Linked DNA regions of Saccharomyces cerevisiae S288C. The gene in region 2 interacts genetically with the main gene of each other region. Each region holds a gene or a part of one and is shown on either strand. Other genes may lie near its edges. The genes, in order: SEY1, ICE2, EMC2 and NEM1.

Evidence for each region.
Region 1: mutations in ICE2 (region 2) and SEY1 together harm fitness more than expected from each alone (negative genetic interaction), as found in Saccharomyces cerevisiae (6 studies listed by BioGRID).
Region 3: mutations in ICE2 (region 2) and EMC2 together harm fitness more than expected from each alone (negative genetic interaction), as found in Saccharomyces cerevisiae (4 studies listed by BioGRID).
Region 4: mutations in ICE2 (region 2) and NEM1 together harm fitness less than expected from each alone (positive genetic interaction), as found in Saccharomyces cerevisiae (5 studies listed by BioGRID, with this or other methods).

Annotation. Positions count from the first base shown.
Region 1 is NC_001147.6:640,315-649,133, reverse strand, and holds SEY1 (dynamin-like GTPase SEY1), read right to left. Parts: upstream 4,569-8,819; coding exon 2,238-4,568; downstream 1-2,237. Other genes in the region: 40S ribosomal protein eS28 RPS28A, read left to right, coding at 127-330; SWT1 (mRNA-processing endoribonuclease), read left to right, coding at 632-2,008; protein GET4, read left to right, coding at 4,802-5,740; polyphosphatase DDP1, read right to left, coding at 5,827-6,393; YRR1 (Yrr1p), read left to right, coding at 7,142-8,819. UniProt on the Saccharomyces cerevisiae protein: Cooperates with the reticulon proteins RTN1 and RTN2 and the tubule-shaping DP1 family protein YOP1 to generate and maintain the structure of the tubular endoplasmic reticulum network. Has GTPase activity, which is required for its function in ER organization.
Region 2 is NC_001141.2:191,826-200,148, reverse strand, and holds ICE2 (Ice2p), read right to left. Parts: upstream 6,555-8,323; coding exon 5,079-6,554; downstream 1-5,078. Other genes in the region: AIM19 (Aim19p), read left to right, coding at 30-503; AVT7 (Avt7p), read left to right, coding at 746-2,218; YIL089W (uncharacterized protein), read right to left, coding at 3,933-4,550; rRNA-binding ribosome biosynthesis protein UTP25, read left to right, coding at 6,954-8,323.
Region 3 is NC_001142.9:581,417-589,157, forward strand, and holds EMC2 (Emc2p), read right to left. Parts: upstream 5,958-7,741; coding exon 5,079-5,957; downstream 1-5,078. Other genes in the region: AIM24 (Aim24p), read right to left, coding at 1-200; EAF6 (Eaf6p), read right to left, coding at 498-839; ACF4 (Acf4p), read right to left, coding at 1,192-2,121; YJR084W (uncharacterized protein), read left to right, coding at 2,317-3,588; TMH11 (Tmh11p), read right to left, coding at 3,704-4,021; STE18 (Ste18p), read left to right, coding at 4,652-4,984; BIR1 (survivin), read left to right, coding at 6,302-7,741. UniProt on the Saccharomyces cerevisiae protein: Part of the endoplasmic reticulum membrane protein complex (EMC) that enables the energy-independent insertion into endoplasmic reticulum membranes of newly synthesized membrane proteins.
Region 4 is NC_001140.6:111,254-119,371, forward strand, and holds NEM1 (Nem1-Spo7 phosphatase catalytic subunit NEM1), read right to left. Parts: upstream 1,842-8,118; coding exon 501-1,841; downstream 1-500. Other genes in the region: TCD1 (tRNA threonylcarbamoyladenosine dehydratase), read right to left, coding at 1-64; GPA1 (guanine nucleotide-binding protein subunit alpha), read right to left, coding at 2,246-3,664; protein transporter TIM10, read right to left, coding at 4,367-4,648; STP2 (Stp2p), read left to right, coding at 6,561-8,118. UniProt on the Saccharomyces cerevisiae protein: Catalytic component of the NEM1-SPO7 complex which acts as a phosphatase and dephosphorylates the phosphatidic acid phosphohydrolase PAH1. Essential for the formation of a spherical nucleus and meiotic division.

The DNA.
Region 1 (8,819 bases), on a different chromosome or scaffold from region 2:
TTTTCTTGGTCGTTGAACTACTTGGAATAAAGAAAATGAAATTTCAGTCTAATAGATGATTTATTGTAAATTACAGTTGTGTTCGTTTTCGATTCTTCTCAAAAGCAGAAAACCAAGCTAGCAATCATGGATAACAAAACCCCAGTCACTTTAGCCAAGGTCATCAAAGTTTTAGGAAGAACCGGTTCTCGTGGTGGTGTCACCCAAGTCCGTGTCGAATTCTTGGAAGACACTTCCAGAACTATTGTCAGAAACGTGAAGGGCCCAGTTAGAGAAAACGACATTTTGGTTCTAATGGAATCTGAACGTGAAGCTCGTCGTTTGCGTTAGGAAGCTTATTTGCAGATTGAAGGTTGCAGCTATACAAAATCTATCTTATATATTTGTGCCTTTTGTTTCTTATATATGTCTTCTTTAAATAGTACATCACTATAATACAATAATACTAATAACTCTATTGTAACTCGTGATATATTCACTAATTATTTAGGTGCGAAAAACCATACCCGCATTGATATACTTTTTGGGTATATTGAGTTCTTCCGCGTTAGTTGTTATGGGCCTTCTATGGTAGACAAGAATTTTATATACGTAGGCCTAACATTAGTGGCTCCAGCTGCTTACCAAATCCATGACCGATGAGAAACGAGCTTTTCCAAAAGGTAACAACCATATAAGATCAGAAACTTTCAATGGTTCGGTATCTCACAAAATCTCCGAATCGATTAAAGATATCGCTAGCTTAAGACCACACGGTAAATATACGGTACAAGACATCGACAACATCATAGCATCCACATCTTCACATGAAAATAGAGGCCAATCAGGCGATAGTAATGGCTGTATAAATCACGACGAAGAAGGCGATATTCCGATGTGTGACTTGAATGATGAAAGCGACGTTGAAATGATTTCTGAATATCTTTCTAGCCAGAGGGAGATGGAAGCACAATCTGTCGCTAATTATATGCCAAAAATCAATGACGATTTACCGCTGTTAAATCCACCTACTTTGAAAACTGCCTTTGTAGTCGACACCAACTTTATTATTTCGCATCTAAACACTTTAGAAAAATTGAGATCACTGTCCAGCACTTATCATCATTTGATTATTGTACCAACCACCGTAATCCAAGAACTGGACGGACTAAAAAAGAGCCCTGATATTGCTAGGGACAATGACGATACAACTAATCAGGAACATGATAGGACAATAGGCACATTGGCCAGATGGGGGAACGACTGGATTTATAAGAATCTAGCCAATTTAGATTCCGGTTTAATAGGTCAAAAATTGAAACAAAGCTTGAATCCAGGCAGTTTAAAGGATGACTCGATATTGGACTGTTGCTTGTACTTCAAAGAGATTTTAAATTGTTTTGTTATTTTGCTTTCGAATGATAAGAATCTTTGTACAAAGGCATTAACTGAAGATATATTAACTGTTTCATTTAGGAAGAACATGGATGCGAAAATAATTGCAATGAGAGCATATGAAGAAAACCAACTGAGATTTGCTAATCTGCGTGACTCTACAGTAAATAATTTCGATCAGAATGTCACATCATATGCTCATATTCCTGGAATAGAAACGCCCCCTTTGCAATTCGATAAAGTCTCACAAAATGTGTTTGAGCAAGTAAAAGAAACTATTTTCTTTGCTATTGACCACACTTTAAGAAAGGAATATGGTGAAGATATTGGATTCATAGATTACAACCCAGATAAATTAACTACCATAGAAAACGCTTCGAATTACATTTATTTGTTTTGGGTGTCTGTATTTTCGGAACTTTTCACTTGTTCAAAGATAAAGAAGAATGAGTGGAAGAGCTTACCAACAGTTTTGAAATCAAAACCGACAAATCTGAATGACTTAAGAACATTTGAACAATTTTGGGAGACTGTATTGCATTTTTTATTCAGCAAATTCACAAATGAGGAGAAACAATCTTTAGAGAAACAGATTCATGAATGGAAAACATCTATCAATGCTATATCAACCTGAAATGTTTTGCTTAGTGTAAATCTATCAGATTTATTGAAGCCACTCACACAACTCATAAGCTTGCGATATGCATTTGCATATATTTTTAATGTCATATAAATAGTTCCCTATAGTTATATACAAACACACAGACACGTTAGGAGAACAGTAATTATAATAATAACTATAATAACAAAAAAGTAAACACGGTAAATTGAAATAAATTATTCGATCAAAAAATATTTTCATATCATTTTTCTTTTTGCTCGTTTTTTGAGAAATCTTTCATTTCAAAAGATTCCTTCACTTCATGATCTTCAACGACAAATTGCCTTAGTTTATCCTTTATTGCAGTTCTTGTTTCACCAACTGCACTTTGAACAACATTAACAACAGGGCCCCAGAGGCCGAACTTATGAATAACAAAAAAGGTTGCACCTAAGATCAAGGTAAGGGTTACAAATAAGGGGTTTCTTATGACAGCCACGAATTCGTTCCACCCTAATACGGCTAGCAAAACGTAAATCCAAGGTGGAATATGCGTTCTAGTAGTGATGATAGACCTTTTCGAATCCAGAACAGTAATGTTAATCTGCCTGCGGAATTGATCTAAAACATTCTCCTTTTGCAATTCAGTCAAGATGTGTGCGAAACGACGGGAATGAAACACACCTTCGTTGTCCCGATATATTTCGTTGTCCTCGCCGCTTTCCTCTTCAGCCATTGGTACATCAGGAATAATTTCAACGTTATCTGAGGTTACAGCAAGTGAAAGAACCTCAAAAACTTCCAGGGCATGTTCTTTTGCAACACGGAATGCCCCATCAATCTCTTCTTCTGTTTTCCACAATCTTGGAGAACCTTCAGCATCATATCTGAATACATCTTCAAACCTGTCTCTCAATATACTAACAATCGTATCTATTTTCAGGTAGTCATGTACTGTGGTATCCAAGGTTCTCCACGCCAATATTCTAATATTTTTGTAAATCTTCGCGTTTTCGCTCTCTGAAAGTCCAATTTTAAAATCATATTTATCTTTTTCCACTTGATACGCAGATATATTGTCTTTGATAGTAGATTCAAAATCGTTCATTATATCATCCCAAACCTTTTTGGATGGATGTGATAGTAAATGAATCACATGATCCTTTAATTCGGGAACCAGATTTTTTTTAATACGACCGATTTTTGCTTTCAATTCAGCATCACGTAGTTGCTTGATTCTTTCTTCAATATCGTCGGAAAATTTGCAGGTAATCTCTTCGTTTGATATTAGTAGCCCTAACTTTTTGAAGGTCTCCATTGATTCGTTAAATTCTTTCTCAATCTTACTCTTACCTGCCGCCACACTTTCTACAAAAGAGGTAGTAGCTTTGTCTCTAGAAGACACCTCCAATTTTAAATCGTCCCATAACTTTTCCATTAATGATTCCAAGAACTCATTAATTGTACCTGAAATATGTGAATTCAGCTTTGTATTTAAAGCTTCTCGTTTCTCCATATAAACGTTTCTTGCATAGCGCGATGCTTGTTCATCATATTTTGTCAGACATTCTTCTTTTAGCTTCACTAGCTGAGATGTTAAAGATCCCAAGTTACCCTTTAAAGGAGCAATCGATTCATCATATTTTGAAATGAACTCTTCTAGAGCTTCATTAGATATTTCTTCAGTTTTAAATCTAGCAACCAGAATTTGCTGAGTTGGAAGATCTAAATCCTTGTTACGTTCAATTTGATCCCAACAATTTTCTGCGTACATAGTCCAACCATCTAATGGCAACCTATGGTGATATTGAGGTTTGAAATAATAGTTTTCCGTACCTTTCATCACAAACGAATCACCTAATTTCTTGACATCCTGGGTAAATTTGTCTTCTTGCAACAACTTATGAGCTAGCCCGACAAACTTTAAATCGAAATAATCATACAGGCTAGAACCCTCACAACCAGCAGGTTTACTTAACTCTGTCCATATTTTTTCCAATTCTCTCGTAACGGAATCACTCAAACTCGAGAGTGGAGTCACACCTACATGATCTCTAATTACAAAAAGTAACAGCACCTTGTGGTCATTATCATTCTTGCCAAATAGGGAAAGGTTGACCTCAAAAACTGTTTTTAATAAAGCCATATTATTACCTTGATATAGCCCAATTTGCTGCTCCCACATATTAACTATAAGAACTTCAGATACTGCAATGGCAAATAAAGCGGCTTTTCTCTCAAAATCTTGGTCTTCACCTCTTTCTGAACCATCGGAGCCCTCAACATCTAGCACAAAAATATCTGGACGATCATTATCGATTTCAATAGTTGTATTAACCTGTTTAGTGTGAGCCAACCAAATGCCTTTAGTAGTCTGCTGCCTTTTCACCTGAGCATCCATGGTATCAAAGTTGGTGTTAAACAAGACGTTAAGTAAAGTCGATTTACCACTCGATTGAGAACCGAAAACTGAGATGACATGGTAATCTAGACCAACATCACGATTTCCAATACATTGTTGAAAATATTGTAATGCACTTTGATGAAATTCCTTCTCTTCATCTATCAACTGAATAGCAGGTCTATCAGCCATGACTAAAGTATGTCAACCGTCGAGTGAGTTAGTAGCCCGTTTGTTGAAATAAGTCAATAATTATTTACCATCAAAATACACCTTTCAGTATTTTGTTCGTTTTGTCGCTCTTCGTTAAGGTAACAAACAATGGGAAAAAAAGTGAAAGGAAAGTCAAAAAAATGAAATAATAACATGTGCGGTAAAACAACCAAGTAAACATCATAAAGGGACATAAATAATAATAACAAGCTATGGTTCCTGCTGAATCTAATGCTGTACAAGCGAAACTCGCTAAAACCTTACAAAGATTCGAAAATAAGATCAAAGCTGGAGATTATTACGAAGCGCATCAAACGTTGAGAACTATTGCTAATAGATATGTTAGAAGTAAATCATACGAGCATGCCATAGAACTAATTAGTCAAGGGGCCCTTTCATTTTTAAAGGCGAAGCAGGGCGGTTCAGGCACGGATTTGATCTTCTATCTTTTAGAAGTTTATGATTTAGCGGAAGTTAAAGTTGATGACATCTCAGTTGCTAGATTGGTTAGATTAATAGCCGAATTGGATCCTAGCGAGCCCAATTTAAAGGACGTTATTACTGGTATGAACAATTGGTCTATCAAATTTAGTGAATACAAATTTGGAGATCCTTACTTGCACAACACCATTGGTAGCAAACTATTAGAGGGAGATTTCGTTTATGAAGCTGAGAGATATTTTATGTTAGGTACACATGATTCAATGATCAAATATGTCGATTTACTATGGGACTGGTTATGCCAAGTTGATGATATCGAAGATAGCACGGTGGCTGAGTTCTTCAGCAGATTGGTTTTCAACTATTTATTCATCTCTAACATATCATTTGCACATGAATCAAAAGACATTTTTTTGGAAAGATTTATTGAGAAATTTCACCCCAAGTACGAGAAAATTGATAAAAATGGTTATGAAATAGTTTTTTTTGAAGATTATTCCGACCTAAATTTTTTGCAATTGTTGCTAATTACCTGTCAGACTAAGGATAAGAGCTATTTCTTGAATTTAAAGAACCATTATTTAGATTTTTCTCAAGCTTACAAAAGTGAGTTAGAATTTTTGGGCCAGGAATATTTCAATATTGTTGCTCCTAAACAAACGAATTTCCTACAAGACATGATGTCGGGATTCCTGGGCGGATCGAAGTGAAAAGAGCATATTTGCGAAGGAATAGATAAATATGTTTGCGGTGGCTTGACGACCATGACGTATATACATATATATGTATGTGCTAGCTATTTGTCGTCTTTAATGATAGCAGACCTATTAAGGGCCTCCAACAATTCAGGCCTCTTGGCGTCTATCAAGTTTTGTTTAGCTTCTGTATAAGAGTATAGCTTTCTATGTCTTTTGTGACATTCCGGAAATTTATCAAGGAGATTTTCAATCTCTAATTCATAAAAATGAAATTCGGTTCTTGGCGGGTGCTTTGCTACTTCTGAATCTTTTCGAGAGTTCTCGAATTGCTTAATGTCTTTGTTCCAGTCCTTAGGGGGTCTCATGTCTTCAACTGTACCCAAATTGGCGACAATTTTACCTATGCAACCAGCTTCCTCCCAAGTTTCTCGTTGGGCAGTCGTCTCGTAATTAGGCTCGTCTTTCTCAACGCCACCTTTGGGGACAATCCATCTTTTCTTGTGTGCAGAAGAAGTAATCATGAGAACTTGCTTCTTGTCGGGTGTTAAACATATGCAGCCAGCAACTAATCTTGCACCTGTAACGGGTGAGTAAACCTGGTTTTCTCTTCCTTCACGTGCTGTCTCAGAACGTACTGGACCATGATTATCCGCGGTTTTGCCCATTTTGTGTTTCCCCACGCTCTTATACTCCTACGTACTCACTGTTCCTGACCTTTCAGGCGTTATTTCAGTGTGATTTCATGTCTTAAAGTTGAGGCTTCCCTTTACACTATTTACCTCCGCGAGACGTTTGAGAATTAAGCCGCACGTGCTCGCCGCAGATGTTCTTTCAACGACAAGAGAACACCATGCTCCTACTATTTACGCATTATTTACACAGTATACCTTTCTGATGATGAAGTTTGAAGGTTTAAATTCTGGGCAGTAGCTGTTTTTACGGTTGTCTCAATATTTCTCATTCTGCTTTATAATCACGGGAGTATGACAGCATTACCAATCTCTATCAAGATGAAGAAAGATGAGCATGATCGTTTTAAGCTCACATGGAAGCTGTAGTTATTACCAGTATATCCTCTTTATATATAGCGAATGTAGATTTCTGCCAGTATCATACTGGCAGAAATCATAGTGAACGGAGTTAAATCCGCGGAAATTAGAAAAACGTTAAAAGGTTCCATGCCATATTACTAATGGGGTAGAGGCTGATATACGGGGAAAAGGATAACAATACCAAGACATTTATAGTATTCCACATCACTAGACGTATGTAATAGACAACTTCCCCTTGGAATTACCAAAACGCCAAAAATTCGGAATTACAAGAGAAAAGTTAGATCAAAGGAACAACAAGATCAACGAGAAAGTGGGAAAGTTTATTGCCCTCAGCCGTGCCAATAAGAATAGCGTCACAATGAAAAGAAGAAGCGATGCTTTGTTGGGAAGTTTCCAGGCCACCAACGTTACGCCGCCAAGCGATAATAGTAATAGTACGGCCGGTGGAGCCAATGGAAGTAACTCAGGAACACCAACTTCTACTAGCGGTAAGAAGAGAAACAAGCTTATAAAATCTTGTGGCTTTTGCAGAAGGAGAAAACTTCGTTGTGATCAGCAAAAACCTATGTGTTCTACATGCATTTCTAGAAACTTAACAACCTGTCAATATGCTGAAGAATTCAACAAAAACATCGAAAAGAAAGCTACCTATGGTCCCTATCCTAACGCCGATTTACTTAAGAAAGTTGAAGAACTAGAAAACAAAATACGTATTCTAGAAGCTGAAAAAAACACTAATTCGTCTGCGAGCTCCATGTACACTTCGCCAAATTTCCCTCCTTTAGGCACTAGTGTAGGTAGAGGTTCTACTGAAACTTCATCTCCATTACCCGATGGTGTAATAAATCCATATGCCGACCGGTACTACCTACAAAGTAAACATTCCGGAAGATCAACACTATACGGCCCCACTTCTATGAGAACCCAAATTGCAAATAGTAATTGGGGGTTCATTGAAAAATATAAACAATTATGGGCGAAGGTTAAAGTAGAAAGAAATAAATGGAAGCAAAACAACCAAAAAACGATGTGCAGGGAACTAGGCCTTTTGGATGAGTCGGATTGGCAGCCAGATCCATTAATCAAACAGATATGTCGTTTCCTACCATCATATAACAAAGCTTTGTCTATTTTAGATGATTTCTTTAATGATGGAGCATGCAATGAGATCAACGTGATTCTTGATAAGGCAAAAGTTAGAAGAGACTTTTTAGATTATTTCATGCCCGAAAAAGAGGTAAAGGCGGAAGGTGACAGATCCATAGTTTATATTTTATCCAATCCAAAGAAAAATTATTACAAAGCTGCTGTGATACTATTAATCCTATGTCTGAAATACTTCCATACAGATGTCCCAACCCCAATTGAGAAGTTCTTTACTTTACTAAAGGGGGCCTCCACCGCTAAGGTGTTCTACATTGAGCGTGCACAAATGTTAATACTTTTCTACTACCATCGTGAAACATATTCATTCGGTGGAGATGGCTCCGATTTGGTTAATATAAATGAATGTTTAGTTACTACGGTTACTACAATAGGGTTGCATTTAAACATTAGAGAAACTTTCAAGGAACATGAGGTTTTTATGGGTAGCATCGAAAGTTTAGAAAATGTCTGGTTAATGGCAATATTTATCGATTATAACATATCTTGTAACGTTGGTAGACCCTTATTGATTAACAAATTTTATCTAGACGAAAACCAAGATCATTGCATATTGAATAGTAAAAGTAAAACATATGAGGGGAAGCTGAAAAGATATTTAAAACTTACAAGGCCAATGTTGTTAACTCTTTATGATAGAGATAAATTCCCGGATTTGAAAGCTTATTCCAAGCGAATTATCAATTTTGTAGAAGAAGAACTTGGTCCACTTGGACATTACACAGGTGAAAATATATCGGAAGAAGTTCCATTAAGGGAAAGTAGAATTTTAAGTATGGCAGTCGGACTATTATTGTCGTTTTATGCACTAATACATTCTGTGCTGAAAGTCAGAAACATAGAATCCAAAAATAATACGTTTCAATTGGTTT
Region 2 (8,323 bases):
CGATTTCCAATATACTTAACACACAAGAAATGTCTGCTAAACCCGCTACTGACGATGCCAAAGATGAACTTCTATCACCATTTCGCCGGCTATATGCATTGACAAGGACACCTTATCCTGCGCTCGCAAACGCAGCACTATTAGCATCCACTCCGGTGCTATCCCCAAGCTTTAAAGTGCCTCCAACGCAATCTCCTGCCCTCTCGATACCAATGTCTAGGGTATTCTCTAAATCTTCTACTGCCAGAATCGGTATAACTACTAAAACCGCCCTTTTCTTTTCTACAATGCAAGCTATAGGTGCATACATGATCTATGACAACGACTTGGAAAATGGGGCTGGCTTCATTGCTACATGGTCCGCCTTATATTTGATTGTAGGGGGCAAGAAGTCCTTTAGTGCGTTAAGATATGGAAGAACTTGGCCGTTGGTGCTATCCTCGGTTTCATTGGCCAACGCAGTCCTTTATGGCCAACGGTTCCTTGCTACCGGATTCCAGTGATGCTTACATCTATTAATGTCTTAATATTTAATTTTGTATCCTCTGTATTATCTGTATGAACCACGTGACTTAACATGAATGGATTTGCTTCCACATCTTTCACCTCTTATCATACGTTCATAACTTCTTCATCCGAAGTCAGATTTGACCCTCAAATAGATAAGACGCCAAGAACAAGCGTCAACGGAAAGGCGAATTCTACAATCAGGACATAGCATCAAAGAGAAAAGGAATTCTAAGGTATGGAGGCTACATCAAGTGCTCTTTCGTCTACGGCGAATCTCGTTAAGACAATAGTTGGCGCTGGTACACTTGCCATTCCGTACAGTTTTAAAAGCGATGGTGTTCTGGTAGGGGTTATTCTTACATTATTGGCGGCGGTAACATCCGGTCTGGGTCTCTTTGTGCTATCGAAATGTTCCAAGACCTTAATTAATCCAAGAAACTCTTCTTTCTTCACATTATGCATGCTCACCTATCCCACTTTGGCCCCAATTTTTGATTTGGCAATGATAGTTCAATGCTTTGGTGTGGGCTTAAGTTACTTAGTTCTTATTGGTGATCTCTTTCCAGGACTGTTTGGTGGTGAAAGAAATTATTGGATAATTGCATCAGCTGTAATCATCATTCCCCTATGTTTAGTGAAGAAACTAGATCAATTGAAGTATTCTAGTATTCTAGGTCTTTTCGCGCTAGCATACATATCAATTCTGGTGTTCAGTCATTTTGTGTTTGAGCTGGGAAAGGGTGAATTAACAAATATATTAAGAAATGACATATGCTGGTGGAAAATTCACGACTTTAAAGGATTATTATCAACTTTTAGCATTATAATTTTTGCTTTTACGGGATCAATGAACCTATTCCCCATGATAAATGAATTAAAAGACAACAGCATGGAAAATATCACTTTCGTTATCAATAATTCGATATCCTTATCAACAGCACTATTTTTGATCGTTGGTTTATCAGGATATTTAACCTTCGGTAATGAAACCTTGGGTAATTTAATGTTGAACTACGATCCTAACTCAATTTGGATAGTAATTGGCAAATTCTGTCTTGGCTCAATGTTAATTCTTTCCTTCCCGCTTCTCTTTCATCCGCTGCGCATAGCAGTTAACAATGTCATCATCTGGATTGAGATCACTTATGGTGGGGCAAATCCCGAAGAGGACCCACAAGTTTCGGAATACACTCGTGCTTCCAACCTAAGACCAATTAGCATGACTGTGGAAGATCCAGCCCAGCCCAGTGATGCACTAGACGCAACTTCTTATAACGAGCAAGAATGTTTACTACCTAACGGGAACTTTGATAATGGTTCAATTGAAAGTCAAGAGAACAATAATGATGAAAGAGGGACTATGGCGGTCGCCGGGGATAACGAGCATCATGCGCCATTTGTTAAGTCTAGATTTTACTGGATTACTGCATTATTACTAATAAGCATGTATACCTTGGCGTTGTCTGTCCAGTCATTTGCACTGGTTCTTTCATTTGTAGGGGCTACAGGTTCAACGTCTATTTCATTCACTTTACCTGGATTATTAGGTTACAAATTAATAGGCTTGGATTCTTTGGCTATTGGGAAGATGATTCCACCAAAAGATAGATTTTACAAAAGGTGCAGCTTATTGCTAGTCTTCTACGGACTATCTGTGATGTTTTTGTCATTGTATGTAACTGTATTCAACCGTTCAGATGAAGCCTAAATGGACCAATAGTCATGCAAGAGAAGTATAAAACAGTATATAGTAAATAGTAAATAGAATCAGAGACAGCAGACTCAAAGTTTTATGCTTAACGCGATCATCGACTAGTTTAATACTTTATTCTATGGCACTTACAAAAAGGTATTACCCTGCTAAACAATAAAGATCCCTGAAAAAATGGAGCAGGCTCAGAGAATGTGACTTCATGCGCTTTAGTGGTAAAAATACTGCCTAAATAGTCCCTAAAAAAAAAAGAATAAAAAATAACTCCGAAGCGGGGAGTCGAACCCCGGTCTCCACGGTGAGAACGTGATGTGATAGCCGTTACACTACATCGGATTTGATTAGCTTGATTTGAATAGAAAAACATGTTACCATATCAGTAAATATGAATGATCTTTATTTATATATATATGTCCGGAAAATTGTAGGAATAAAAACCTGTTGGAGTAAAAATCAACCATCATCTATCAACTAGTAGTTACACTATCAATATATTATCATATACGGTGTTAAATGGTGACGCAAGTTATGAGAAGCTGTCATTGAAGTTGGAGGAAGCTGAAATGCAAGGATTGATAATGTAATAGGATAATGAAACATATAAAACGGAATAAGGAATAAAACGGAATGAGGAATAATCTTAATATTAGTATGTAGAAATACAGATTCCATTTTGAGGATTCCTAAATCCTCGAGGAAAACTTCTAGTATATATACTGTATACATAATATTATAGCCTTTATCAACAATGGAATCCCAACAATTATCTCAAAATTCACCCATTTCTCTCTTATATACCATAAGAATATACAGTATTTATCCCTAATTATTACTGCCTTTCAATTACTGTTCATTGACAACTGGGAACAAATAAGCAAGCCGTATTAATAACCACGGTAATTACTGTTGGAACGAGAGTAATTAATAGTGACATGAGTTGCTATGGTAACAATCTAATGCTTACATCGTATATTAATGTACAACTCGTATACGTTTAAGTGTGATTGCGCCTATTGCAGAAGGAATGTTAAACGAGAAGCTCAGACAATACTGAAGCTGTGTTAAAGACCTATTAGTTGAACATGTTATGGTAGGTACATATATGAGGAATATGAGTCGTCACATCAATGTATAGTAACTACCGGAATCACTATTATATTGGTCATAATTAATATGACCAATCGGCGTGTGTTTTATATACCTCTCTTATTTAGTATAAGAAGATCAGTACTCACTTCTTCATTAATACTAATTTTTAACCTCTAATTATCAACAATTACATATAATTATATGTTCTGTTATGGTTTTCTGTACTATCGAGGAGAACTTACAGTATACCCAATATATCCATAGATTTGCTTTTAAAAAAATGCAATTTACATTATTATTTGAAGATTCACCTGTGTTTCTAAACACGAAATTAAAAAACGTCAGTAATTCATATCGTTCTTAATAATTATTTCTCTCTGCGTTTTTATACCCTGTCACCCACTCTCCCACTACAATGTTAATCTTTACGCATCAGCTTCCGGAGACTATTAACATTTTTAATCAATTCAGCCGATGTTATAATCTGCTTCATTTTCCGAAGATCATATGTGATAATGGCACGAAAATATCGAACGCTAGACAGTGTGCAGTAGTCCATTTTTGTTTCAATCGCAATTAAATGCTATCCAGATTCAAGATACTATCGAAAAAACTACAGTTGTTAAACCTCGTCACCGCCTGACGATGATTTGTTTGCAAAAGAATCCTCATACACATCAAGAGGCGCACTATGTGATTCTAAATGGTCCCCGTAAAAGGCGAATAACTTCATATTAAGAATTGCATTAAGTTGCCAAAAGAATAGCTCTAAGAGTCTGTTTAGATCAACAGTCTGATCAGTTTTAAAGAACTTATTAATCTTTACCAACGAATAAACCCCAAAACAGAACGTTCCTAGACATAGGAGTGAATGTTTGAATTTGAACCACTTGGGGTGGTGAGCGTTTGCATTACAGCGAGAGCACGAAAATTTCGAGCACCGTTTTGTTTTCCTTTTGAAGTAGTGCTTCCCAAAGTTACCATCTTCTAGCAGTAGGAGTTGGTGCGTAGCAAAAATAAACAGTGATATCAAATCAAAGACAAGTTGTACCTTCAAAAACTTTGCAACTTTTGGATGCTGCTTCTTTAAAGGATGCAATGGCGGAATTAGAAATGTGTCAACTATATAGACGATATCGGCAACTCTTGATAATTTTTTAACCATTATAAAAAATCTAGATCGGGGTACTTCAGTTTGGTCTATTGCGACACTCGATTCCAATTCCCTCGTACGTTGCATTCCCAAATTTAAGAATGGATTCTTCTCATTATTCACTTTTCTAAGAGGGAAAGAATAATAATCCAAGGATGAAGATCATCTTAAGTACCTCTTATCGTTGTGATAAGAGAAGAAAAAGGGTTCTTGGAAATTAGCAAAACAGAAAAAAAAAAACCGAAATAAAATTATCTAGAATAATCTGCATCGGCTTCAGGTTAAAATCTACCACGTAATAAAAGTAGTATTTCAGGGAAATGTTATATATTTATATATTTATGTGTCTACATATTAGAGTATGAGTTAAAATGTTCATTGTATTTATTAGAAAATAGTGGTGAGCGTAAGGGATTTTCACTATGAACGTGCAAGGGACTAATGCAAATAATAACAAAAAAAGAAACTAACCAAATGTAAAAATGGTTCAGGAATGGCACTTAAAACAGATATCATCTATCACTTAGTTATAAGTCAGTTGGTATTTCACCTTCCTTTTTGTCTTCGCGTATTTGGCAAAGCTGGTAATGCGGCTCTTTTGACAATGCATCAGCTTCAACTACCAGAACCTATTAATTCTGTAGCGTATACCAAAATAGTACAGAAAATGTTGCACCAGTTCCAAAATCCCCATGAATCTACTATAATTTCTGGTTGATCTACGCCAAACCACTTTTCACTGCAACCCCATATGCACAGGTCTTTCTTTAGCTCACCTGAATATTGTAAAATCAGGTGAGTATACATAGCAATTAATATGCAAGGACTGTACCAATACAATCCCTTCATGATCCTGCGACTCTTGCGCAACTGTTTGTCATTTTTTCTTTGTAATGCTGGAATAATCCTCGTTGCCGAGTAAAACATCAGAACTCTAAAGCATAAATTGATTACTATAGCTGGGGAAACTGATTCGCTTGCCATCTTAATTGTAACTTGACAAAATTCATTAATGGATAGCGGAACACTAAAGGTGAAATTCTTGAAAAATTTCCAAAATGGTTTAGATATCAAGGATACTTTTTCGAATGATAGAATGCTAATGAGTTTATCATGAAAATCACCGGTTTTCTTTCTTCCTCTAGGAATAAAGGACCCCCATAACACCTCTGCATTTTTCAATATGACATTATGAAAGTAGCACAAAAGATTGTCAGCTGTGGGCAGATTTCTTTGATGTTTCTGCCAGACGTCTTTGAACAAATTTAAAATTTCATCAGTCGCGGTAGTAGCTAATTTGGGGGAAATTTCATAAATACAACGAACAATATACGCAAAAAATAAAGAGCTCTCTATGACGGATCCTTTTTGACTCACAATACCATACAACCCCAGTCCACATACCATAGACAAAACAAGTCCTAATAAGGACGCCGTTTGGATGGATAACGGCCATATGGGGGTGACATAAATCCGATACAAATAGTACAGCGATGCGGTAATCACACCTCCGGAGGTTAACAATGAGGAAATAATCCACGTGTTTGAATTCAAGTCATTTGATAACCATCTATTAGTTTCCCCGACGGCCTGAATGGCTAAAATAGTGAAAAAACCTTCCGATAGAGTAAAAAAAGGTGTGGACTTGGTAAGCACGAATTGCCACGGTTGTACAACAAATCGATAGTAGTAATAATATAAGACGTAGTTAATTTGATTGGAATTCAAGCTATTTTTCAAAGCTTCCAGGAACGACTCCGACTCATTATATTTATTTTTCAGAACGTTTCCCAACTCATCATTAGAAAATCCAGACAAAAACAGGTATAGCAAAGATGCAATGATAAAATGTTGTGAGTAATACAGACAGTTGGTAAAAAAAATGTATAGTCTTCCTCCATGTCGTCTTGCCAACACGTTAAGAGTCGTAGTTATGAAATATAAAGTGAACAGTGTCACCGTGAAGGAAAGCCCGCATTCCAAACCACCAACTTTAAACGAGATTGGAATTGAAAGTAGTGTGAATAACAGATAGAAACATGCTGCGCAGATTCGTCCACTCTGCATGAAGCTTTTGGACAAACTGGTCATCGTTGCCTAATCTTTAGCGTGATCGGCCACAAACAGCACCTCTCTAATAGATCTAAGCAATTACGCGATGGGCTGAGGGGAGCAAAACGGAAAAAGAAGCTTCACGAATACTATAAGATCCACCAACACTTTACGCACAGCCCTTCCAGTATCACTACACCTCGATCCTTTACCTATGTTCATCTTCTCATCAATCATCTCTCCGAAACCAGTAACCGCTCCAGTCCCTTGCTTCGCTTCAAGCTGATGCGATTCCTCGTGTACCATGATCTGAAAAATTTTTCCTTCGCAATACTACTATAATTTAGCTCATCGCATATTTTGCAATAATATAATACAGGGAATAAACTGCATTGGTTCAGTGAGACGGTGGTATAATTGCGAAGTGACCAAATTGTAATGAGTGACAGTTCTGTGAGGGAAAAGAATGATAATTTCCGTGGCTATCGGAAAAGAGGAAGACAAGAACTGAGGAAGATTAAAAGATCTTCTGCCAGAACTGAAGGCGGAAGCACAGAAACATTAGAGGACGTAGCAGAAGATATTGACCATAGATCCGATGAGGATGAAGTGTCCGATGTCGACAGTGGCGATGATTTCGATATTGAGGATGAAGAGGGTAAAAAGGAAAAAGTTTATGACGCTTTATTGACGATTCTCAAATCTGAACATCCAGAGCCAAAAAGAAGAAGGCGAGAGGCTGACGAGAGTAACAAAGCTCCTGCCGAAGTTGGGGAGGATGAGCACGAAAATACAGAACATGGACCAGTGGATGATCAATTGGAGATAGAGAATGGCCTTTTGGGTAATCACGAGGATGATAACGACGATGACAGCAGTGGAGACGAAAAAGATATAGACAGTGAAGATGAGCAAGATCCTTTCGAGTCTCATTTCAACCAAGTTCCGGAGAAATTCGTTGATAAGTTGTCGAATGCTTTCAAGACCAAAAGTGTAAAATACAAATCCGTAAAGGGCTCACTAAGTGACAGTGAATCATATATATATGCTAAACCGGTAGTAATTGGTGAGGAAGCATTGGTGGAAAGTCCGTACAGGTCATCATCTATATATTCATACTTTTTGAAACAAAGGCTAAAAGTGCAAAATGGACTATTGGATAAAAAAACTGATCCATTGACTGCTTTGCAAAAAAAATTAGTAGACCCCATGTTTCAGTATAAAGACATATTATACGAGTATGACTCCTACGAAAAGGACGAAGACGAGTACAGAGATTTATATGCTTTGCATGTTTTGAATCACATCTACAAGACAAGAGATAGAATCTTGAAAAATAATCAAAGATTACAGGATAACCCAGACACTGAACACCTAGATCAAGGTTTTACAAGACCAAAAGTGTTAATTGTAGTCCCTACTAGAGAGGTGGCGTACCGCGTTGTAGATAAGATAATTTCAAAATCTGGTATAGATCAGGTTGACAAGAAGGGAAAGTTCTACGACCAATTCCGTGACGACTCCTTACCTCCAAAGTCCAAACCAAAATCTTTCCAACACATATTTAGGGGGAACACCAACGATTTTTTTGTTGTCGGTCTCAAATTCACAAGAAAGGCTATAAAACTTTATAGCAATTTTTACCAGTCTGACATTATTGTATGTTCGCCATTGGGTATTCAAATGATCTTAGAAAATACAGATAAAAAAAAGAGGCAGGACGATTTTTTGTCCTCAATAGAGTTGATGGTGATTGATCAATTACATTCAATAGAATACCAGAACATATCTCATATTTTCACCATCTT
Region 3 (7,741 bases), on a different chromosome or scaffold from region 2:
ATATCTGGTTGAACAGTGATAGATGCAATTTTACCATTTTCGTCTACTAGCCTGAAACGGGAAGTCGCAATATCCTTGCTTAAGTTCTCGATATATGTCCTTTCTTTAGTTACGACATTACTCTCCGTCTTGGCCGCTTGTGGGCTCAAAAGAGAAATTGATCTCTGCCAAACTCGAGTATTCACCCTTGGGCTTATCATGATGGGTGGATATCCTTTTCTGTGCTTCTGTTTTGTTTATCTGTATCCGTTTATTCGCCAGCCAATAAAATGACTGGGAGCACGGGACCTTTGAAATTTTGCCCTTGTTAGTAAATCGTTATAAAAATACTTATATAGATATTTTATAGAAAATGAAAAATAAAAGAAATAGCCAATATGTAGGTATATCGAACTTAAAGGTCACCTGTCGAAATCATTTCCTTCTTCTCTCTTTTTCTTTTCAATCAGATGTTTTAGAGCGGTCAAGCAACGTAAATACCAACGTGTGCTATCGCATTAGTCGTTTTGTGATTGGCCATGCTGCTGCTTCACGTACGTAGCACTACTTAATGAAAAAATACGATCATTGTTATTGAATGCAGAATCTGCATGGCTGTGGTGTGACTTGGAGAAGGTATCAAACCCTTTTATGATGTTACCAGAATAGTGTGATTTTGACCCATGGGCTCCCCCATGACCTGAATGGTTGTTATTACTATTGTGTGAGAAATACTCGGTCTCTTTATCATATATCTCTTGTTGTAAGTTGTCAAAGGTATCTTCTTGCTCTCTTCTATCTTGGAGGGACTTTTTTAGTTCCGCTTTCAATGCTTCATAACTTTTCAGCTCATCAGTCATTTTCTTCTAGGCGTAGGTTGGTAACAAACGGAAAGATGATGGAAAATGGCTGTTCTCTAAAGATGTTTATCTTACGTATATTCTTTGCTTTCGTTGTGGCTTTACACACCTTTAATCATTAATTTAATGGCATAGTCGGCAAGTTGTTGAAGGACCTGGGTTAATCGCCTACATGTGAGGTTTTTTTAAAAATATCAATTACATTTAAAAAAGGAAAGCAGTAGTACCAAAAATCGGGCAAAAAAAATTTACCTAAATAAAGGAATGCATAAATGAAGCCGTTTAATCTTTGTATTTAATGAGAATATTACATATGAAGGTCTCTTGAGAAAGCATCAATAGTGGACATTAGCTACCTTTTAAATAAATGAACGGGTATGTCACCCATGGGTTCAAACTCTTCATCATCCTCGTCTTCACTGCGTACTTCATCGTATTCGTAACCCAAATTTTCTTTTATGTAATAGTGATCTTTCTTACTTTTCCTCTTTTCCAAAAGGTCATCGAATTCGTCCTCTTCCATATTCATTTGATTGAATTTGTTAAGTATTCTTTGTAAGAATGGTGTGTTCTCCCCAGCAGTTGCCGTGGTATTAGCATTCTTCATAGTATTCCTTGGGGGTAGCAAGGGAGGACCCGATGTTGGAGTTGATTCTGAACTACGGCTTGGAGCAATATTTTGCATACGTTGTGACCGATTAGGCGGAGGGTTCGGTTTACGATTGGGTAGAGTGTTATTTATGTTGCTATTAACATTATTATTGGGCTTACTAAAAAAATCGTTTATACTCTTTTTTCCCTTGAGCATATTTGGTGAATTATTTACGTCCACAAATGTCTGTTGAATTCTTTTGGTAAAAGTAGAGAGGTATTCACTTGGGTTCTGGTTACCTAATTTCTGTTGTCCATTTCGGGGCAGTGTATCTTTGAACTGTAACTCTAATTGTTTTAATTCTTTTTGGGCGACCTCTAATTTGAAACTAAGTTCATTGATTTCTCTGTGTTTTGCAGCTAATTTATATATTAAATCTTGGTCTGTTGAAATCGGACTTGCGTGGTCGCTCACGGGTGACTGATTTGTCGTAGATCTTTGCGGACTTGATATAGGTATAGCAAGTCTTTTGGGCTTTAAAGGTGTCGTAACCCTTGGTGATTTTGATTCAGGCTGCACTTCATGTTGTTTTTGATGCGGCTGTTGCTGCTGTCCTTGGGAGTGTTTATCGACAATCGACAGCTTATGTAATTCAATTGGTTGACTAATTACACGCTGGTCTTCTGACATTACTTTAGGGCGTATGTATGGATGTATTTTGTATTGCTTTTGGCTAGTTAGTAGTATTCCTCAATCGTATTGTTTTTGATTTTGAAAAAGCTAACGATAAAGGTCAGGAAAAAAAAAGAAAATTGTATGTAAAGGAATGTCTGGAGAGAGTTACACAGGAACAGAAAGGTCCAGCAACGGTTTCTACAACCAATCATGGATGTTGATATAGGATGTTATTTTGAAGAGAAACGCTATGACGACAAACTGTTAGACTTCATCAGATATGACGTTAAAACACCTAAAAAGACTAAATATATACTACAAAGGCCTACGGCGACAGATGAAGAGAGTGTACGATTACAAAGGTTTTACCAATTAGGAGTAGATCTAAAATTGAAGTATTCCAAGCGGAGGTCATTGAAGAAGCAAGGGCGGATCAAGAATGCTACTGAGGAATTGCTGCGATTAGCCAATGAACAGTTGAAACTTTTCAACAGAATAGTAGAAAGAGAAACCAATTGGATAATTTATCCGCTGTGGGTAATGGCTAAACAATTAATTCGTCTGGCAAACGAATCTAGTGAACTTAATAAAGACTCAATTGAGGAATGTGGACGCACTATCCATAGAAGCTTTACTATATGCCTCAATGATAGGAACCCAAGATTGAATGAAAATAAAAAAATCGGGTGTTATATGTTTGCTAATCTAGAGTTTTCCATCTACCATCGGTTAAGTAATAAAGATATGATTAAAAATTTAGTGAAAGTCCTCGAGAGCAGAGTGAACGCCCGGGATATACCACCGTTGAATAAAAGCCTGGCAATGGAACATAAGTCTCAAGTGGTGTTGTATAATTATTATCTAGGTCAATACTACGGATGTCTGGAAAACGATCACGAACGCGGGTTCTTCCATTTAAATGAAGCATTATTGCAATGTCCAATGCTATATGTGGAATCTACCGGCAAGTTCGTCTTACAGGGCCAAATGGAAAAGATAATGATACTGCTGGTTCCGCTTGCTCTTTTAACTAAAAGGTTGTACCCTCACTGGGATCATCCAGTAATCGCCGGAGTAATTACTAGGAGTAAGCGCTTAAGTCAAGTTTATCCGACATTAGTGCGTAGCGTAATCTCAGGGAACCTGTCACTGTACGAGGCTACCGCAGCAAGCCATGAAAGATTTTTCCTTTCGCAAGGATTGCATGTCGTCATCACATTACTTCGAGAGGTGGTCTTCACTCGGTTGGTACAACGATGTTGGCAATGGGGGAATGATCGGAAAAGTATCATGCCCTTGAAAATTCTTCTGGCAACAAAACAACACGATAGTTCTGCCAATGAGGACGAAGAGGAGCAGTTGGATGCCCTAGAATGCCGTCTAGCAAGTGCTATAGCAAGTGGGCTTTTGCGTGCTTATCTTTCTCACTCCAACCGCTGCATCGTTTTCAGTAAGAAGGAGCCCTTTCCCCATAGCAAATGATAGAAAAATAGTCAATAATTGAACGAAGAAAAAAAAAAGAAAGTTTGTTCATAAAAGAATATCATATTATATATATATATAGGGTCGTATATATATCGTGCGTCTTCTTCCTTCTCTAAGGGTAAAATTCCTTGTATTTGTTATAATAGTAGTAACTGCCGAGCCCACCCAAAGCTGTCAAAACGACAGGGACAGGTTTAGTGAACCTGGAAGGCATGCCTCTTATGACACCAGCACCAAGTAGTAAGGTCGATGCACCCAATGCCATTTCGAGCCCACCATCTCTATTCATATGTAGCAAGTAACCGGCAATCCCATATACACTACCGAATACTAAGCCAGATACTAGAGATGGAATGGAGCCCTTACGGTAGTATCCCATAAGGCCACCGGCTGTAGTCAAAAGACTCAATGTATATGCTGGATGTTCCATAGTGTGATCTGATGTTCCTTTCTCTCAAACTTCGTTTCTGTCTTGTCTCCCGCTGTTACCTAATAACTTCATGTGATCTGCTCCCCCTTCTCGTTAAATACCACCTTTTCATCAACCCCGTAGGGCGCGACACGTCTAAAATATTAACCTCTGAATACTTATTGGGTCAAAATGAATGTTGATAACTTTCCTTTACAAAAAAAAAACTAATAGAGTATATGCATTTCGGTAGTGAAATATTCGTTAATGCTAATATGCTCAGTAGTGATCCTAGATTACCAGTTTTACTGCAGCCATCGTACAATTTTGGAACGAGTATAAAGAGAGAAATTAAAAACGACAAGAAATATTCGTACTAGCTTCTCTTCCGGCTTGATGACAGTCTTAATATCATCTGCAACTCTTGAAATCTTGCTTTATAGTCAAAATTTACGTACGCTTTTCACTATATAATATGATTTGTCAATGTGATGAGTGAATGTCTCCCTGTTACCCGGTTTTCATGTTGATTTTTGTTTCAGGCTCTAAATGTTTGATGCAATATTTAACAAGGAGAACAGAAATGTTTTGTGACAGCACCTGTCAATTTTAGGATAGTAGCAATCGCAAACGTTCTCAATAATTCTAAGAATGACATCAGTTCAAAACTCTCCACGCTTACAACAACCTCAGGAACAGCAACAGCAACAGCAACAGCTTTCCTTAAAGATAAAACAATTGAAGTTAAAAAGAATCAACGAACTTAACAATAAACTGAGGAAAGAACTCAGCCGTGAAAGAATTACTGCTTCAAATGCATGTCTTACAATAATAAACTATACCTCGAATACAAAAGATTATACATTACCAGAACTATGGGGCTACCCCGTAGCAGGATCAAATCATTTTATAGAGGGTTTGAAAAATGCTCAAAAAAATAGCCAAATGTCAAACTCAAATAGTGTTTGTTGTACGCTTATGTAATGATAGTAATAGAATCCAAAAAAAAAAAAAATATACATGCTTTTTCATATCCTCTCTCACCCTATCTTTTTTTTTCTTCTAATTTTGGCTCCGTTCATATCTTATTCAAAATTAATTCAGCGGTAATCTTATCTTTATTGTTAGACTTCGCAGAAATTTCCTTTAGCTTCGATGCAGATAGTTTGATCAAGTCATTTTGTTTATTACGTCCCAGTTCGCGAGAAATGATGTTAACCAATGCCCACCCTTTTAGGTATAGTTCGCTAAGTTCAACGCTCCTCAAAGCATTCTTTAATGCCTTTTCCAAGAGCTCGGTCTTGGTTTGTTTCTTGCTACGTAGAGCCTCATAATACAGAGTCTCACTTAGCCTACCAAAACAAGCGTAATTGAATGGTGTAATACATAGGACCTGTTCCAAACAATAACAGGCTTTTTCAAATTGGCCCATTTCGAAATAAATCTCGCTGGCATACCACCACAATTCTGCATCAAGCGGGAATTTATCTGTAAGAGCTACCACTTCTTTAAGAACACTTTCTTGGCTCAAGTTCTTGGAAGTTGTCTTGATAGCTATCAATTTCTTTGCAATAGAGACATAAGTAACGAAGTCCGTTTCATACTCCAGATCATCATTCAACAAATTTTCCAGATATTCAATAGCGCCTTTATCATTTCCGTTTATCTGCAATAAAGTGGCTTTCATGATTACCATTTTATACGAATTTTCACCAAGACGATCTCTTAATGTATTATAAACAACTTGCGCATCAACGTCTTGGTTTCGGTACACCAAAACATAGAAAAGCATTTCCATCAAGAAGAAATAGTTTCCTTCTGTTAGTGCAGAGTCTCCGCTTTTCATGTAAATTTTCATTTCATTTTCTAGTTGCAGTAATTGTTCTGGATTAAATTGAGTATACGCTTTGGTATTCATAATTGTCAAAAGCTTTTCTCTAACCAAATCCTTCAACATTGTTTTATCTACTGCTTTCTATAATTTTCTCCGTTCCAATGCGATCCAATGCCTTTCATTCATACATAGTTATTTATTTCATTAACGATCCAAATCTCTTTACTTAACTTCACTAGTCAACGCTTCTAACACATCACGCGATACGAAGATTAACAGTTTAGTATAATATTGCAATACATACCCATTTCACACATCGGTCAAGGTCATCAAGCACTTTTAGTTATAGTGTGTCCTATAGTTCTTTCAGATTGATTGAGGTTTCATATTAGTGTTGAAAGCCTAGCTAAAGTTCTCTGGGCGTGCAACATTCGAGGACACATCGGTTGTTTATACCTCATGGGATTATGGATGGTCAAATAGATAAAATGGAGAAGCGATATAGCATGACCAAACTGGAGAATAGGTTAAGGACTTTCCAAGATGGTGTTGCACTTGAAAAAAAAAAGTTAAAGTGGAGTTTTAAAGTTATTCCGTATCAGGCAATGGCCAAGCTTGGATTTTACTTTGATCCAGTGATCGATCCTAAGACATCTAAACTGAAAAAAGACTCTGTAAGATGTTGCTATTGTCATCGTCAAACATACAATGTGAGAGACTGCAGATCCAAAAGAAAAGATGTTCTTGAGACTCTAAGCAATATAATGAGGCAACATCTGACTGTTACTGATAACAAACAAGTTTGCCTCCTTATTTACTTGCGCAATAAGCTATTGACGGACTATAGCTTCCATATGGGGGTTTCGGACTGGAAAAATGACAAGTACTTCAGCAATCCAGATGATGAAAACGTGATAAACCTAAGAAAATTTACTTTTCAAGATAACTGGCCTCACAGTGGTTCTCAAAATGAACATCCGCTGGGTATAGAAAAGATGGTGAATGCAGGACTCATGCGATACGACTCCAGCATAGAAGGCTTAGGCGATCCAAGCATGGATAAAACACTTATGAACGATACCTGTTATTGTATTTATTGCAAACAGTTGTTACAAGGTTGGTCAATAAATGACGATCCGATGAGCCGACATTATAAGGTTTCTCAAAATGGGAACTGTTATTTCTTTCAGACACGTAATCGATTTGAGAGAATAAAAAATGACAATGACAGTATCACGAAAAATTGCGAAGTCTCTCCAACTTTAGGCGAAAATGGGAAAAGAGAAGTGATCAACACGAAAACCGCTTCTCAAAGGCAGTGTCCTTTATTTGAGTCACCTCCATCTAGTACTGGTCCTCAACTTGACGATTATAATGAGAAGACAGATATATCTGTTATTCAACATAATATAAGTGTGCTTGATGGAGCACAAGGCGAAAATGTAAAACGTAATAGTGTGGAAGAAAAAGAACAAATCAACATGGAAAATGGAAGCACTACATTAGAAGAGGGCAATATAAATCGTGATGTTTTAGCAGATAAGAAAGAAGTTATTTCGACACCAACTGCAAAAGAAATCAAACGTCCAAATGTCCAGCTAACCCAATCATCGTCACCTATAAAAAAGAAAAGAAAGTTTAAGAGAATATCGCCTAGAAAAATCTTTGATGAGGAAGATAGCGAACACTCCCTTAATAATAATTCTGCCAACGGAGACAACAAAGATAAGGATTTGGTTATAGATTTTACAAGCCATATCATAAAAAATAGAGATGTAGGGAGAAAGAATGCTATTTTAGATGACAGCACAGATGAATTCAGTTTCAGTAACCAAGGACATAACACATTTGACATACCTATACCAACCTCATCACATTTGCTCAAAGGTATAGATTCAGATAATGAC
Region 4 (8,118 bases), on a different chromosome or scaffold from region 2:
GTTGGGTTGAAAACACCGATATAAGAGCTGTAGTAGCAATTAACTTCCACGTATTATTTGCCATTTGTTCGTTCTGCTATCCTAACTAATTGCAGTATTAATACTTTACTAACGCTAGAAAATTTTTTCATAGTCTTGTCTCTTTTCGCTACTGCATAAAATATGAAAAAGAAATCAAAAAACCTGACAGCAAAATGTAAAGTAAGATACGGGCATTTAGCGTGTCACTGCTGAAGATAACGTAAGACTAAAAAAATTTCAAGATTAATTCCCAACCTATATATATATATATATATATATATACTGTTTAGATCAAGTATATCTTCCTGCTAAATAATTAATATGCTCGTATGTAGAAAACAAAAAAGAGGTCTTTTCTCTTTTTTCTCCCGTTACTTTTTTCCCTGAATGCAATAACCTTTCCATTAAATGAGCAGCAATGGATAGGCGATTTATCACCTAAAATTCTCATCTTTTTTGGAAGGACACAATAACAATTGTCAGTTTATGTTGAATGCCTTCTCTCCATGTTTCAATGCCAGTATATTCCTGACATCTGTTGAATACCTCATAGCCTCCAAGAAAGGTAACAGGTTCAGTAAGTCCGTATCAGTTGGATCACTTATCCATCCTTCTACTTGAATAGCGTTATCTACATTCATTGCGTAACTTACCGGGCTGTTATCTATAATAATGACATCATCCAAAGAAGAGGAGCTGCCTTTCCCGTTTTCTTCGGAGTCCTTGACAATGCTCAAATCTTTAATGTATCCAACACCATCCCTTAGAACGCAATCAGAACGGTAATATCTTTTTGAAAAACTGGATGGGAAGGAGCTTTCTAACCAATCTATCACAGGATCAGCGTATTCTTTCATGGATGCTGTAAAAATGATAAGGTCGTACCATTTGCTAACTTTTGTCAAAAATAAATCACAGTAAGGCCTCTTGTGAATAAAGTATAGTGTACGAATTCCGCTCAATCCAAACTTCACTTCCACCAAGTGACCCTGAGAAGAATTACTATGCGTTGTACTTCGAGAAGCCGAGTGAATTAAGGTCTCATCGAGATCTATAACCAGTTTCTTTTTCTTTTGTGTGTTAAGCACGGATTTAGGTATCAGCTTCTTTGGAAATAAGAACCTTCCCATTCGTTTTGTACCAAATACGGTATTAGAACTTGAATGATTAGAAAGTGATAGTTCTGATTTGGAATAACTTCTTGGCCTTGATTTGACAGATTGAGCTCTAAGTAATGAGCCTTTAACATTATCCCTTTGTAGAATTATCTCATCACTGGCATTTAAGTCATCCTCAACTGCCTCGGGAATCGTATTTAGATTGCAATTTTTAGGATTTGTTTTCTCGCTAGAATCGTTAATATTGCTTGAACTGACAGGCAGCTCATTCTCACTAGCATTTGAACCCCTGTTTCTCTTATCGGTGTGTTTTACACGACGCTCGATGACACTTAGTGGGAAGGTAAAAACAAACCATAAAGACATCAAGGGCTTGATTATCAGATAATACGGAAGAAAAAGTAGTAGTGCCCACAAAATTGACGCTATTTTCTCTATTAGGATGGAACGTAAAGCTTTTGGTTTTTTAGGAACAGAATTTTTGCGCTCTTGATTTTGATCAGATTCTTTTAAGTGGCTTGAGGAGTGGTCGTACTGTTGGTCCACCTCACTAACGCAATCATTTTCGCTGTGGCTAGTATATTTGTTCGAAACTTCCTTTGAAGGGCCTAGTAGATCTTGATTCTTTGTCACCTCAACATTGATTTTTTTTTGTTTCTTTGTAGTTATTAAATGATTTGAGAAATATTTTAGGGCATTCATTCAATTAATGAAACAATGTCCAGAAATTAACAACAATAAAGAAAAGTGAGAATAGGATGCAAAATAGGTTCTATATATCCCGAGTATTTACCAGGGAGAAGAATTCGAGATAATACCCTGTCCTTACGTAGAAGAATCAATTGTTTTCAAGAGTTTTTCTTCTAAAAAAGTGTCTGGACCTTTTTTTTCTCATGCGATTTTATTACCCTTGTTTTTCAATTGAAAACCCGGAACGATTTAACGAGATCAAGAACTGTTGAACAAAATGGCTTTTTCATTTGGCATTCCATCATAGACTCTAATGGAGAAGAAAAATAGTAATTTTTTCTGGTGCTGCTGCTCCTTCTTGCATCTTCGGAAACAGAATTTACGTATCTAAACACTACTTTAATTATACAGTTCCTTCATATAATACCAATTTTTTTAAGGTTTTGCTGGATGATTAGATCGGTGACTGCACTCAATACGAACTTCATAGTTTGGGTATCGGTAGCGCAGGTTCGTTTCACGTAGATTGGTTTGTTTGTCTTATTCAAGCTCAAAAATATCTTCTCAAAATATTTTAGACCCGCTTCTGCATCGCCGACACGTCCCTGGTAATCAGGAAAGTACTTTCTTATGGGCATGCTTTTTACCTTTTCCTCGAACAAATCAATTTTATTTAAAAACAAAATAAACGGTGTATCTTTGAACCACTTAGAGTTCAATAACGTGTCAAATAGCATTATTGATTCATGCATTCTGTTCACTCTTTCATCCTCAAACAACATCTGGTCGTATTCACTCATTGCTAAAACAAATAAAACTGCTGTAATTCCTTCGAAACAATGAATCCACTTCTTACGTTCAGAACGCTGCCCACCAGCGTCGAGAACCTTGAATTTGGACGAGCCGATGTTAAATTCGGTTTCTGTAATGCCTGTAGTCTTTATACGGCCCTTCAAAATGTCTTCATCCGTACAGACATAATTCGGACTAGCAAATTTCTCAATGTTATCAAAGTAGTATGCAGCTGAGCCCTCCAATTGAAACTCATTAGAACGTGCAAAACACTGCTTTATACCTTTGTCGTTATTCCAAAGTTGCTTTATTGCCTTAGCAATGTCTTCGTGAATAAGATTTCGTCTATTTTGTCCTTGAATTTCCCTTGATGTTTTTCTAACAAACATCTGGTCATCGCCTTCTTGGTTCAAGTCCTTGCAAATATCCTGTAGGTTAATTCTACTACTGTTGTTTCTATCAGCATCCTCATTTTGCGTCACCGTTTCAGCATCTCTGTCAGTGTCACTTTTGACATTAGAAATATTTCCGTCTTCATCGAAAGCAGCTTTTGCTCGTCCGGTACTCTGAACACGCCTCCTAGTTTCATACCTTTCTGAGTACTTCAGTACATAATCATTTAGAAAATCAGAACCACCGGCAACACTGGCGTTGATATAATCTAAAGCTTTAGCCTTTAGCAGTATTCTCTTGCATGCAAACAAATCTTTATTGTTGATCGGATCATCACAGTCAAGTTGAATACCTAGTTTTCTGGCCTGAATAATCAAAATTTTCATTGATTGTATGGCATCTGCCCATATCACTTGAGCATACTGTAACCTTTCTTGATGGGAGAAACCGCCTTGATGTAATAATTTTAATTGTTTTAAAACCGTTGATTTACCTGACTCACCGGCACCTAATAGTAACAGTTTTATTTCATTCTTGTCACGTTGTTTCTCCAGCTGCAACGATTGCTCGATGACATCATTGGCTCTTTTGTTCTGTAGAAAAGGATCACTTTCGTCTCCTATTGTTTGCGTACTCACTGTACACCCCATTATTTCCTACCTTAATATATCAATTTATACACCTCTGGATTATTGATGTGATGCTAAAATACCAATTTACAGTATGAATAGCTTCTACTCAGTTTGGTCTTAGAAATGGTCAAAAATGTTAGAAACGGAGTGACAAGAAAAAATGAATAACAGATCAAAAGATTACGAATAATATAAAACGTAAAGAAATTGGTGGAATTCTACTATCCTCTTCATTTTAGACTATTTTTTAATATTTCCCTTTAAGGAAAACAATATGTAACAAAAAAATTTCTGCTCTCCATTTAATTGCATTTCTACAAGGAAGAATACGCAGAAGGACGCGCAGAGCCCTAAATTGATGTGCTTTTTAACATGCTGAGCCGAGTGCGTTTCGGTGAAATAACACGAAGATGCGTTTCAAATTGAAACTAGTCAGTGTTATCTGCATGAAAAGGGAATATCGTTATGCATTCAGTTTTCCAATAGAGACATTTTTTTTTTTTTAGATTCGGCTTGCTTTATCCACCTATGATCTTGTTTTCAAACAACATGTGCCATGTAAGATAAAAAGGTAAAGATGAAGTACAGAAAAGAGTATAATGTTACTTGTATATACAGGATATGAATCAATAATACTAATTATAACGTTGAGTCGAGTAAAACAGCTTATGGATTTCTTTTCTTATTTTCGTCTTATCATTACTGCTTTAATGCACATTTCTAAAACTTACCGGCTGCGTTAAATGATTGGCCCATTTTCTGCATGTTTTCACCGACTTGAACATTGGTCTCAAAATATTTGGCCACACATCTGTCTAGGCACGAAGATTCATTCTTATTCAGCTCACCCTCGGAATAAGAAGTATTGATACATTTTTTATAACAGTTATTAACCAATTTATTGAACATGTCTGTGACCAAATCTAGTTCAGCTTCCGCAGCTTGAATCTTTTGTTGAGATGATAATTGAGGCTGACCACCACCGAAACCTAAGAAAGACATGTTTTTCTAAGTATGATAGTTCCTTCTTTTGCTTGTTTATCTGTTAAAAGACATGAGAGGGGAACGAGGAGAGTAATAGTTCTTTAGAGAGCTTGCTCTTGTACGTTCACTGCCAGCTCTCTCGCTGAAAAAATTAAAGAAAAAAAATGTCCGATAGCTTCAGAGGGTGATCATCAGCTACGAATTGGGAAATCAATGCAAAAAATGCTTCCAATCGGATTTGAACCGATGATCTCCACATTACTAGTGTGGCGCCTTACCAACTTGGCCATAGAAGCTCTAATAGTGATAGGACCCAGATTATATTTAGTGACTTGTTGATAAATGTTTTAAAATATTACCTTCGTGTCGTTATCGTTACTGAGGAAAGATTTGCAAAAAATAATTACATACTTGGGCTCTTCTGAACGAACAAGTTAACCAAAAAGGTGTATATTACTTCCTCTTGTTTTGTTTCCGGGCTAATGCTTACCTTTCCTTTGTTTCCAATGTTCTTCTTTAACACCAAAACATACTATTTGAGAAATGGGTGAATGTTGAGATAATTGTTGGGATTCCATTTTTGATAAAGGCTATAATATTAGGTATACAGAATATACTAGAAGTTCTCCTCGAGGATATAGGAATCCTCAAAATGGAATCTATATTTCTATTTACTAATATCACGATTATTCCTCATTCCGTTTTATATGTTTCATTATCCTATTACATTATCAATCCTTGCACTTCAGCTTCCTCTAACATCGATGACAGCTTCTCATAACTTATGTCATCATCTTAACACCGTATATGATAATATATTGATAATATAACTATTAGTTGATAGACGATAGTGGATTTTTATTCCAACACTATTTGAGGTTTGGCAACTGTTGAAATTATTGTTAGGACATTGTTAAAAAAGGTTCTTTTATTAGGTCTACAAAAACAAAAAAAGTTTTTTCACGAGGACAGCGTGAATCACAAAGGTGAGGTCAATAGTTTTACATAATAATAAATAACGTTTTTTTTTTCTTCCTTTCATGTGTTGCCTTTCTTTATCCAATTACATTGTCAGCCCTTACATTTCAGTGCCTATTGAATTTGTTGACCACTTCCCATCAGCAATACCATCCTCTTACGCAATATATGATAATATACCCGCGACATAAATATTAGGTTAAAAACAGACGGCAAAATGTGCCTTGGGCGGCAAAATCATGAGAAGCGCACATGTCGTGATATCAATAGCACGGAATTCCAGAAGAGAGAAAATACCAGCACTTATAACAAATGATCACAGTAAGCGTGAAAAAGAAGAGCCTGTTGCTACAAAGAACATTGAAATGATAAAATAGTGAAAGAATTCCAATGAATGGGAATATGGATGGCATTTTGGCAAGAAATTGGGCGGTAAATTTTCGTAAAGCTGATTGATGGTCAGCAAAACTCTCTTCAGAAGAACCAGAGAAATGGGCCAATTCTCACGAAGAAAATTCTTATAGTGTGTAAGCATAGGTAACGATCACGATACCATTAATTACCTGCAGTCAAGAACGAGATTTATTAACTGAAGAAAAAAAACAGACCATTTCCCACAAAAATTGTCGACGTTTAACTTGTGACTGATAGAAAGTTATAAAGTAAGCTATTAATGGAGGTTCTGAACGCATGACATGCTCCTCTAAGGGCTAGAATAGAGATTATAATGTTATTTGAAGATTGAAAGTCTGTTACCCTTCTTAGAGTCATCCATTCGAACGAAGAGTATCTTTTTTTAGAATTCTTATCATTTTTTTTTTCTCTTCACATTCCAATACGGGCAAAAAGCGAGAAAAACGATGATTAATAAATGAAAAACAGTGATTAATCATCCGACAAACAGACAAATGCAAGAGAGCAAAAAGTTGGGGAAGTAAGGAAATCCATTATCATGCCTATCTTATCACTATCTTCAACACGGAACAGCGTGTTAACAAGGATATATGACTACCTTAAAGCATTAGTGCAGCAAGTGATTGTGCCCAATGTGGAAGACGACAAATCTTCGAAAAGTACTCCTTTCGAAAAGTTAGAACCTGCGAAACAGAACCATCCACAGAAAGACTGCTGTGCTACCGAAAAGGACGATCTGGTTGACGTGAGCGAATTATTTCCCAAACAGAACAACAAACAATTGAGTCTAACATCAAAATCTTCAGTTGTACCCTGTGCTTTAAATTTGGATAACCTAGAAACACCTTTCTCAATTAAAATTGATAATAATGGTGCAGTCACTACACAGTTGAACTTGGACGAACCGATTTTACGGGGCCCTAGCCGCGGCGAGCCAGCAAAGTTACAGAATGACTTGATAAGTTCTCCCCCGCTAGAGGAATCCTATATCAATAATGACCAGTACAAAGCTCTTTTCCCCTCTAATTTCCTTCCAATCACGCCCGTAAGTAGCGTAATCACTCCTGCATCGAAGAAAAGTATTGATGAATCTCCCCTATCCGATGAGGTTCAAGGAATTGCTGATGAGTCATCCGAAACTTTACCATATATATGTCACTATTGCGATGCTAGGTTCCGAATCAGAGGTTACTTAACACGACACATAAAAAAGCATGCGAAAAGGAAGGCCTATCACTGTCCATTTTTTGATAATAGCATTTCGCAAGAATTGCGATGCCATACTTCTGGGGGGTTTAGCAGAAGAGATACCTACAAAACACATTTGAAATCTAGACATTTCACTTACCCAGAAGGTGTTAAGCCTCAGGACCGTAATAAATCACCTGGAGTGTGCACTCAATGTGGGGAACACTTTAGCACTAGTGAGAGCTGGGTGGAAAACCACATTGAGGCTGGGAGTTGCAAAGGTTTACCAGAAGGCTATTCAGAGGGAATACGAGAGAAGAAAAAGACGTCTAAAATGAAAATGATAAAGACTTCGGATGGCCAAACAAGGTTCATCTCATCCGACGAAAGTGTTTCCGAACCAGCTTTACAAAATAAGAATTGTATAGAAGCGACAGTAATGCAGTCCAAGGAACGCCCTAATGACAAGATCATACCAACCAAAACCGAAAAAAACGATTTTGGAATAGGCACTCAATGGTTTGAACGCAAACAAATATCAAGACCTACACAAACTACACAATCAAGAGGACCTACAGAAGTCCAAAATCTCAAAGAGTGGTCAATAATATCTCCCCCAATTTTGTCACCCCAAAATGCATCTTCTGTACCACAAGAGTATCAATCATCAAGATACACATTGCATATGGATTCTCCAGCATTATCCTCTGCCTCCTCAGCGCTATCTCCACTTTCAGGCGATCCAATAACAACTACAGAAACAAATAAGTCATACCCATTGGATTCAGAGCAATCGTTGTTGGAGCCAGACAAAACCGAGGAGGACGCAATCAATCAGTCAAAGGAAAGCAATATGATTTCCATTAATGAGATGTTACAGAAGCAAATGGACTTTGAACTTCTGGGTG